2 linked regions of the Bombyx mori genome follow. The protein of the gene in region 2 interacts with the protein of the main gene of each other region in a pairwise test. Links are inferred from orthologs where the notes say so. Each region holds a gene or a part of one and is shown on either strand. Other genes may lie near its edges.

Region 1 (4,439 bases), on a different chromosome or scaffold from region 2:
TTCAATTTTATATTTAATTAGTAGGTTTTTTATATGTATATATGGGTGAAATTCCTCTCAATCTGGTTTATGATAGAGCCTTTACCACACCCAGCCTCAACCCTTGAGACTTGATTCAAGATTGCCTATGTCTTAATTGTATGGTTTTACAGAAATTAAAATTTTTTGCAAGTTATATTATTATTACACAATTTTATTCCTTCATCATGATGGAAGTCATTCATAAGCATGTGCTTAGTATTTTATTAAAACAAACAGTACCTGCCTGAGGGATTTGAGCATTGGCATAGTCACATCGCTCACCTTAGGTATACCAGCAGTTTTATTCTTTAAGCCATAACGACTCCAAAATCTACTATTCACTGTTCCAACAGTACTTTAAGCACACAATCACAAGCCAGCCAAGTGAAGCAGATTCTTTCATACAAAATCAAATCTACTAATACATTATTCAAAATATTTTGATCAAATTTACATCAGCATACATTGTAAGGCATTTATATATGTACATGAAATTACAACATGCAGGTTGATGACTCAACCTCAGGCAACACACCTCACAAGTTCCTTAGTTGTATTATGGTGTTTAAGGTAGAATTTAACCTATCAAAATTCTCTTTTATATTTTTTTTATTGCTCTTGTAGAACGATGTATACGTACCACGAAGATGGCGATGGACATAAGCAATACCAGGGGCAGAGCCAAGCCACAATAGCATTGATGGAAAGTTAACCTTAAATTGCAATTGATGGAAATGAATGACTTGAATTCATAGTGTGTAACCACCTTTTAAAACTATTTGTAAGTCTCACTTGCATTGAAATAATCACTTTTCCATTATTTTAGCCAGAATTCATAATGTCAGAATTCAATAGGATATACAAAGCTGTACGAGCTATTTTATTTACACATTCTGAATCTCAATTAAGCCTTGTTTTCATTGATTTAAAACGAAGCCACATGACTTAATAGATGATCATTGTCAATAGTGACTATTGTCAATAATGTACAACAGCAGTTTTAGTAACAGCTCTATGTAAAAAGATTGTTTATCAAAAGAAAGTGTCTTACTACTTATGAAACACTGTTTTCATAAGTTAATTCCAAAACTAGGTATAGTAGGTACCTACGTATCTTTAATGATTTCAATAAAACTCATCAGCTGTTTCGTCACTTGACACAATTGTTGTTTAAGAAAGCAATCATAATCAGGAGGAATAATTTACTTAGAGCTTATACATGCTAAAACCTTGAATTACCGAAGAAACTTTAAGCATTATCAATTAAATAATTAACTTATGACCCAAATGACAGTGATAAACTTTATCAAACGAAAGTAAACATGTCAAGTATATTATAATGTACCATGTAAATTCACTAGAAGATTCGGCAAGGAATCAAATGCAAATTCAAAGTTATTTTTAGGAGAACACGTCATAGGGCATTCAATTTGGAGTACACAAACAGGTTATGATAACATGAACTCACCTAGGTCATCCATATTTTCTTCAGACTTAAGATTAAGTTTTTCACTACACTAACACAAATAACAAATGGCACAGTTGCACAGCTAAATATGTATAAATGAGCAAGAAATTACTTGTTAATACTGTTCGTGGATAGACGAATCAAACATGTTTTTATTGAATTGTAAATAATAAAATTCTTAGTCGCTATATAATTGACAACTGACATTTTGACATTTTTCCGTTTCATGTTCTGTTTTAGTTTTATCCAATTTTATAGGTAAAGGAAAGGAAAAGAAAACCGATGGTTGGGCTGCAATAAGTTAGTGGGTGCCAGGTTTCATGAGCGGACACTGATGGAGCATCAGTAGTAATTATATGATGAATTTGACTTTTTAAACTTATCATGGAACACTTGATGTGATTCAAGTCCAAAACTTCACAAACTAATTTGAGTAAAAGTGACTTTATTGTTAACTCTCTCATATTCCTATTTCCCTGGCAGTTAAACAGAATTGTTTGAGATGAAGAGTAAGCCTACTTTCCAATCTCGGATAGTACTAACATCCTGCGGAGGAATTCGGTACCCACTTGAAAATAAGTTGGTCGTGAGTTCTTTAACCTGTCTATACAATTTAAAAATTATATAAGTTGAAAACCGTTTAATCTTGGCTGTCTTGGTAAGTGCAGTGATGTTTTTTGTGGAAGGCATATGTTCATCAAGTATAACAGATACCTAGTTATCGTCAGTCATTCTCTTATTTGTGTATCTCAGTGATAATTTCTGTCCGTTATTGTACAGATTTTTTGAACATACAATCCAATCCCCAGAAATATCCTACACACTTAAAAATATAGTCCAATCCTTTTATTTCTTAACACCATAGATACCTAGTACTCTTCTTATTTTTTTAAGTGTATCATCTATATTTTACTCTTTGAATTCAATTGATTTGATTTAGTCACTGAATCACTGATTTCTACATAAATTTATTATTCTCTAAAAGTATATTTCGTGTTAATTTATACTCACAATTTTGTGTATACTACTTTAGTTTCAAAAAGTGTTCAAAATGACTACCACTGGCGAACAGTTAACGTTAGCTAGGGATATAAAACGTGCCATTGAATTACTCGAGAAACTGCAACAGAGTGGCGAAGTCCCTGCAACGAAATTAGCTGCTCTCCAGAAAGTTTTGCAGAGCGACTTTCTAAATGCCGTAAGAGAGGTTTACGAGCACGTCTACGAGACTGTAGACATACAAGGCTCCGCAGACATAAGAGCTTCCGCAACTGCAAAGGCAACGGTGGCCGCATTTGCTGCTGCAGAAGGACACGCTCACCCTCGAGTAGTGGAACTGCCGAAAACTGAGGAAGGCTTAGGGTTCAACGTAATGGGCGGAAAAGAACAAAATTCTCCGATTTATATATCTAGGATAATACCGGGCGGAGTTGCTGACAGACATGGTGGCTTGAAGAGGGGTGATCAACTTTTATCCGTTAACGGAGTCTCAGTTGAAGGCGAGAATCACGAGAAAGCCGTAGAACTTCTGAAGCAAGCCGTGGGATCCGTAAAATTAGTTGTCAGGTACACACCAAAGGTCTTGGAGGAAATGGAGATGAGATTCGACAAGCAAAGAACTACACGGCGACGCCAAAACTACAACTAAAATTTTTCACCGGCTTTGCAGTCATTTATCAAACAAAGTGTATTAATGTACCTGTTATTTTTATCCTATGTTTTAATGAGGAACTTTGATAATCTTTAAGGCATTGTAAAACTTTATTTAATTTTATAAAAACCTATATTACTTTTACACCCAATCAGTTGGCAGTTGGAGACCATGGCTATTAAAAATTGGGAACTATTCAAGTATTGAAAAATATTCAATCTGCTATTTATTTATATATTAAATGAAAACTTTGTTAGTGTGAATTTAATTATAAAGTTTTCTTCTATTTAAATCTAAACGGTGTTTTAAAGAAATTTCCTTTTATTTACACATGTTTAAAATACTTAACAATTAATTACTAATTAAAATACTTAAATAAACGAAATGAATGTATTGTAGATGTATTATAAGTTTTTGCACATGTTATGAATGTTTATTGTATGTACTTAATTTAGTTTTTAAGTTAATATTAAAATATAATTGAGGCTGTACCAGATTTATTGTCAACAATTGTGATTTCTACAAATGTAGTCAACCTCAATAATCATAGAAGTGCCCTCGACAGAACAATTAAAGAAAAGAAAGTATTTATGACTCAAACTGAATAGATGTACAAACAGATTGTAACTGCACCTTGTTAATTACCACTATTCTGTCTATTTCTACCATGAGTAAATTATTACTTAGATTTATGGATGAGCTCTCGGCCCACCTTGTTTTATGTGGCTACTGGAGCCTGTAGACATTTACGTCTCACTTTTAACAGTATAACAGCTGCCCCATCATACAAACCGAAATGCATTAATGCTTGACAGTAACAACAGGCAGGGTGGTGGTACCTACCTGTGCAGACTTACAAGACGTCTTACCACCAGTGATTATGTAAATTATAATTTTGCAGGTTTGATTCTTATTACACGATGCTATTACTTCACTGTGGAAGTCAATCGTGAACATTTGTTAAGTACCTATTTTAGCGGCATCTGCTTGTGGGATTCAAACACTGATGCATCACTACATACAAATGCACCTGACGTCTTATTCTTTAAGCCACAACGATTTACAAATTCTTTACTTATCAATATATTAAAAAGTTATGTGGTGAGCGGTGTTGTGGTGTGAAATAGTGGGGCATGTTAATTACTCAGAGCACTCCCTGTGGAACATGTGGTACAGAACTGAAGGCCCTCTGTAGACCGAAAGGTCCAATATTATTGGTAATAGTAGAACTGTTGACAATCTGAATTACCTTCATCAGTATGCAGTCAAATGGAAATAACTGGCATTTGAGAGCACAGC
Region 2 (4,438 bases):
TCTCCTGTCAAAACTACAATTTCGGCGAAATCTGTATCGATAACTGCAGCGTTCATCCAGGGTGGGTATTACTTCTATTTACGCACTTATAGTGGCATCGAAATTGATACTGCACAGCGAATTTTCAAAAGAACAACATATACTTTCGGTTTCTTCATTTCAATTATTAATTATAATATTAAACACACAAACACACACTTAATTATCATAATCTACAACGACAGTTACCAGCATCTAGCGGTCTTATTACCATAACAAAACCTAGTAGCTGACGTGTGGGTAGCATTCTCCTAACGGTTCGATGTCCTAACGATGGTGACCTCATTGTTTGTTTAATACACCAAATCTATCTTGGTGTATTAAATTGTAATTTATGTTATTTATGCTGAATTTCATTACTGTTCCAGATTGTACAAGGCTGACCACAAAAGCTGTAAGCAATGTCACTCGGAGTGCCTTGACGGATGCACTGGAGCAAGTCGGGCGAACTGCACCTCCTGTAAGCATGTCCGAGATGGCCCTTACTGTGTTGCCCAGTGTCCTGAATCAAGATATGCCTCAGAAAATGGAACGTGTCACCCATGTCATCCTAATTGCAATAATGGTTGCACGGGTCCTGCGAACACTGTCGGAGAAGGCGGATGTAATTCCTGCAATAAAGCTATAATAAGTGTTGAAGCCACAGTTGAAAGCTGTCTCAAGGAAGACGAACCGTGTCCAGACGGGTATTATAACGAGTGGGTCGGTAACGTTAAACCTTTAGAAGGAAAAGTGAAAATAGCGTGCAGAAAATGCCATCCCCTATGTATTAAATGTGTAGGATTTGGAATCCATGAACAAGTATGTCAAGTATGTAACGGTTTCAAAAGAGGGGATCAATGTGAGGATGAGTGTCCATCAGATCATTTCACTGATGAAATCGGCAGAAATTGTACACCTTGTCACTCAGAATGTAAAGGCTGTACTGGACCTGGTCCCACAGATTGCATCAAATGTAAAAATCTAAAGATATTCTTGGGTGGTTCTGATGCGAGCGACGAAAACGCTCCATTCAACTGCACTGATACATGTCCAGATAATATTCCTAATAAAATATATTTTGATGAACAATTACAAGACCCAATCGAAGAGCCGTATTGTTCTGAACACGCCAATGATATCCCAACCGCAACTGCAAGAACATCAACAGTTTTAGTTATAATTCTGGTCATAGCTTCCTTGTTCTTGGCGGTTCTTGCCATAATTGGATATAATTTCCGTCAAAAAGCAAAAGCAAAGAAAGAAGCTGTCAAAATGACGATGGTGTTGACAGGGTGTGAAGACAACGAACCACTGCGTCCAACTAACGTCAAACCAAATCTTGCCAAATTAAGAATAGTAAAGGAAGCTGAGCTTCGCAGGGGTGGTATGTTAGGATTTGGTGCTTTTGGAAAAGTATACAAGGGCGTATGGGTTCCTGAGGGAGAAAACGTTAAAATACCTGTCGCTATAAAAGTGCTAAAAGAGACAACAGGTGCGAACACTAGTAAAGAATTTTTAGAAGAAGCTTACATAATGGCTAGCGTCGAACATCCAAACCTATTACAACTTCTAGCTGTATGCATGACCAATCAAATGATGCTCATCACTCAGTTAATGCCGTTGGGGTGCTTAGTTGACTATGTGAGAACACATAAAGAGAAAATAGGATCGAAAGCATTCCTTAACTGGTGCACACAAATAGCTAGAGGAATGGCATACTTAGAAGAAAAAAGATTAGTGCACAGGGATTTGGCAGCCCGTAATGTTTTAGTACAAACTCCCAACTCAGTTAAAATAACTGATTTTGGACTAGCCAAGCTATTAGATATAAATGAAGACGAGTACAAAGCAGCTGGAGGTAAAATGCCAATAAAATGGTTGGCACTAGAATGTATACAACATAGAATTTTCACCCACAAAAGTGATGTTTGGGCTTTTGGTGTTACAATTTGGGAGATTCTCAGTTATGGCGCCCGACCTTACGAGAATATCTCAGCACGAAATGTACCCGAACTAATTGAAAATGGATTGAAATTACCGCAACCGAGTATTTGCACGTTGGACATTTATTGTGTTATGGTATCATGTTGGATGTTAGATGCGGATAGCAGACCGACCTTCAAACAACTAGCTGATACATTCGCTGAAATGGCGAGAGACCCTGGTAGATATCTTGTTATTCCTGGAGACAAGTTTATGCGCCTTCCATCCTACTCGACACAGGTAGTTGATATATTCTTCGTTTAAAGTGCTTTATTTCAACGAATATTATTAGTTTAGTTTTCTAATTGTAAATTAAAATGTTTCAGGATGAAAAGGAAATGATAAGAAATTTGTCATCGGCTATGGAAGGTCCAGAATCACTAGTTGATGCCGACGAATATCTACAACCTAAATTCAAAAGTATGACAGGTACAGTGACGACCAACTCCGCTCTCAGTGCGGGCATGGAAACCCAAACCAGCTCACTGAAACCCTGTACATCTTCTTCGTGGCCTAATAATGCTGGTCAAGACGGGGTCCCCGACCCATCTACTAAGCCTGAAAATTGGGATCACGAAATGTTGCGATACAACAATCAACTGAATCCCGATGGCTCAGAAGTACGTCATTACTATAATAACGGCGTATGCGCGTCTGACACTTCGAGTTCGAGATATTGCAGCGATCCTATGAAAACGAGAACCGAAGTATCTTTGGAAGATAACTTCGACGGCATGTCCAAGGCAAAAGAAGCTCAAGTCGGTAATTTAAAACTGAACTTACCGTTGGACGAAGATGACTACTTGATGCCTTCCCCACAACATACTCAGAACGCTTCGACGTATATGGATCTGATCAGCGAAGGCTGCGAAGGACAAGACGTTAACGACATCCGTTTCGGGGAATTCGTGAGTTCTAAACGTTGCATCGACAACCCTGAATACTTAATGTCAGAAGAAAGCGTACCGCCTCAGACGTTGGGTATCCCGACCGAACCAGTTCCACTGGAGTCACTGTCCGCGAGCGAAGAAAGCGCCGATACCACACCTCGTCCAGGTACTAGCAATTATATGCCGCAGCGTTCTGTAGAGGAGGAGTCCATGTCAGACCACGAGTACTACAATGATCTGCAACGAGAGCTCCAACCTCTACGACGGAATGAAACGACCGTCTGAATGCAATTACACAGCACACGATCCATTTGCAATTAATCTGTACTACACCATCTCCGACCAGGAATGTTACCACCGTTGCTATGATCATCTGGGTTTAAATATGAGTTGTGTGGATTTGATAATTATTATAACATTTAATTGTGCGCGTCGCATCTGTCTAGCGTCTAGCAGAGTATTGTAATTTCTCTTATCTCAATTGTTTATGGGCAAGAGCGCGCGCGCAAATCCCGTGCCATTGGACGATGGCTAGTGTTGGATCGATCGTAGTCTAAAGAGAATTTATACTAACATAGGAAAACCAATTTGTTAATTTGTTTATAATCATTAATATTTTTTTTGTAAAGATACTGTTAAAACTTTATGATTTGTAAAAAATATATATAATTTCTATAGTGTGTTTTGTACACCTAACAAAAGATTTAAGTTATTTATTAATTTAGTTTAAGAATGGCTATGTTTAGTTCTCTCGGATGCTATTTGTTTAGCTTAAAGAGCATTATTTTTATTTTAAAACTGTGATAATTAGTTTAATTTCGATACATTGCGGACCAGTGATTTTTTTTTATTATGTCCACTGTCTGAAAATTATGTGAATAAGCATTTTGCACTTTACATAAATGAATACAGATAGATAGAAAAATGCAAATAAAAATACAGCGTATTAAAGTACTGATTTTTTTTTGAGTTTACTGTAACATTGCAAAATGTTTAGAATTACAGTAAGACCCCGCTTAGCTTATTCTTTAGCTAGATATAGCGTAATATTATACAGCGTTATACGAGATTTTCTCGTCATGCAAATAATGTAAAGTTAGGAAAGACGGGTTCCTAATCGTCTTTATGGTCAAATATTTTACCATTCAGTTTATAGATTATGTATTTTATAACAGTAAAACAAAAATGTATTTCTTACAAATATAGAAACATAATAAACGAATATACTATATATAAATATATAAACAAAATTCTAAGTATCTTTCCATTTCAGGCCATTCTTCTCTTCAGTATTTCCAATTTTCTGCCTTAAGAATATTGTTTATTGTTGAAGTTTCCAAATCTCCGATTGACGTTGACCAGTATCTAATCTTTTAATCCATTGCATCTTAGTTTCTGGTGAAATTCTTTTTCTTGTTGCTTTATCTTCGCATTTAATTATTACCCAACATAAAAACTTCAAATCATAATATTTGTTAGTATATCAATTGTCATATTGTATAAATTTATACTTACAATAACGTCAAGAAATGTTTGATACGATA

Evidence for each region. The genes of interacting proteins can lie anywhere in the genome.
Region 1: the proteins of epidermal growth factor receptor (region 2) and protein lin-7 homolog C interact in a two-hybrid assay, tested with the Caenorhabditis elegans proteins (3 studies listed by BioGRID). The link is inferred for Bombyx mori from reciprocal best matches to the Caenorhabditis elegans genes let-23 and lin-7.

The regions. Positions count from the first base shown.
Region 1 is NC_085116.1:14,601,207-14,605,645, reverse strand, and holds protein lin-7 homolog C, read left to right. Parts: upstream 1-1,769; 5' UTR 1,770-2,540; coding exon 2,541-3,137; 3' UTR 3,138-3,636; downstream 3,637-4,439.
Region 2 is NC_085107.1:5,355,080-5,359,517, reverse strand, and holds part of epidermal growth factor receptor, read left to right. Parts: coding exon 1-61; intron 62-407; coding exon 408-2,247; intron 2,248-2,330; coding exon 2,331-3,179; 3' UTR 3,180-4,438. UniProt on the Caenorhabditis elegans protein: Tyrosine-protein kinase receptor which, upon binding ligand lin-3, activates 2 signaling cascades: the let-60/Ras and MAP kinase signaling pathway and the let-60-independent phospholipase C-mediated Ca(2+) signaling pathway.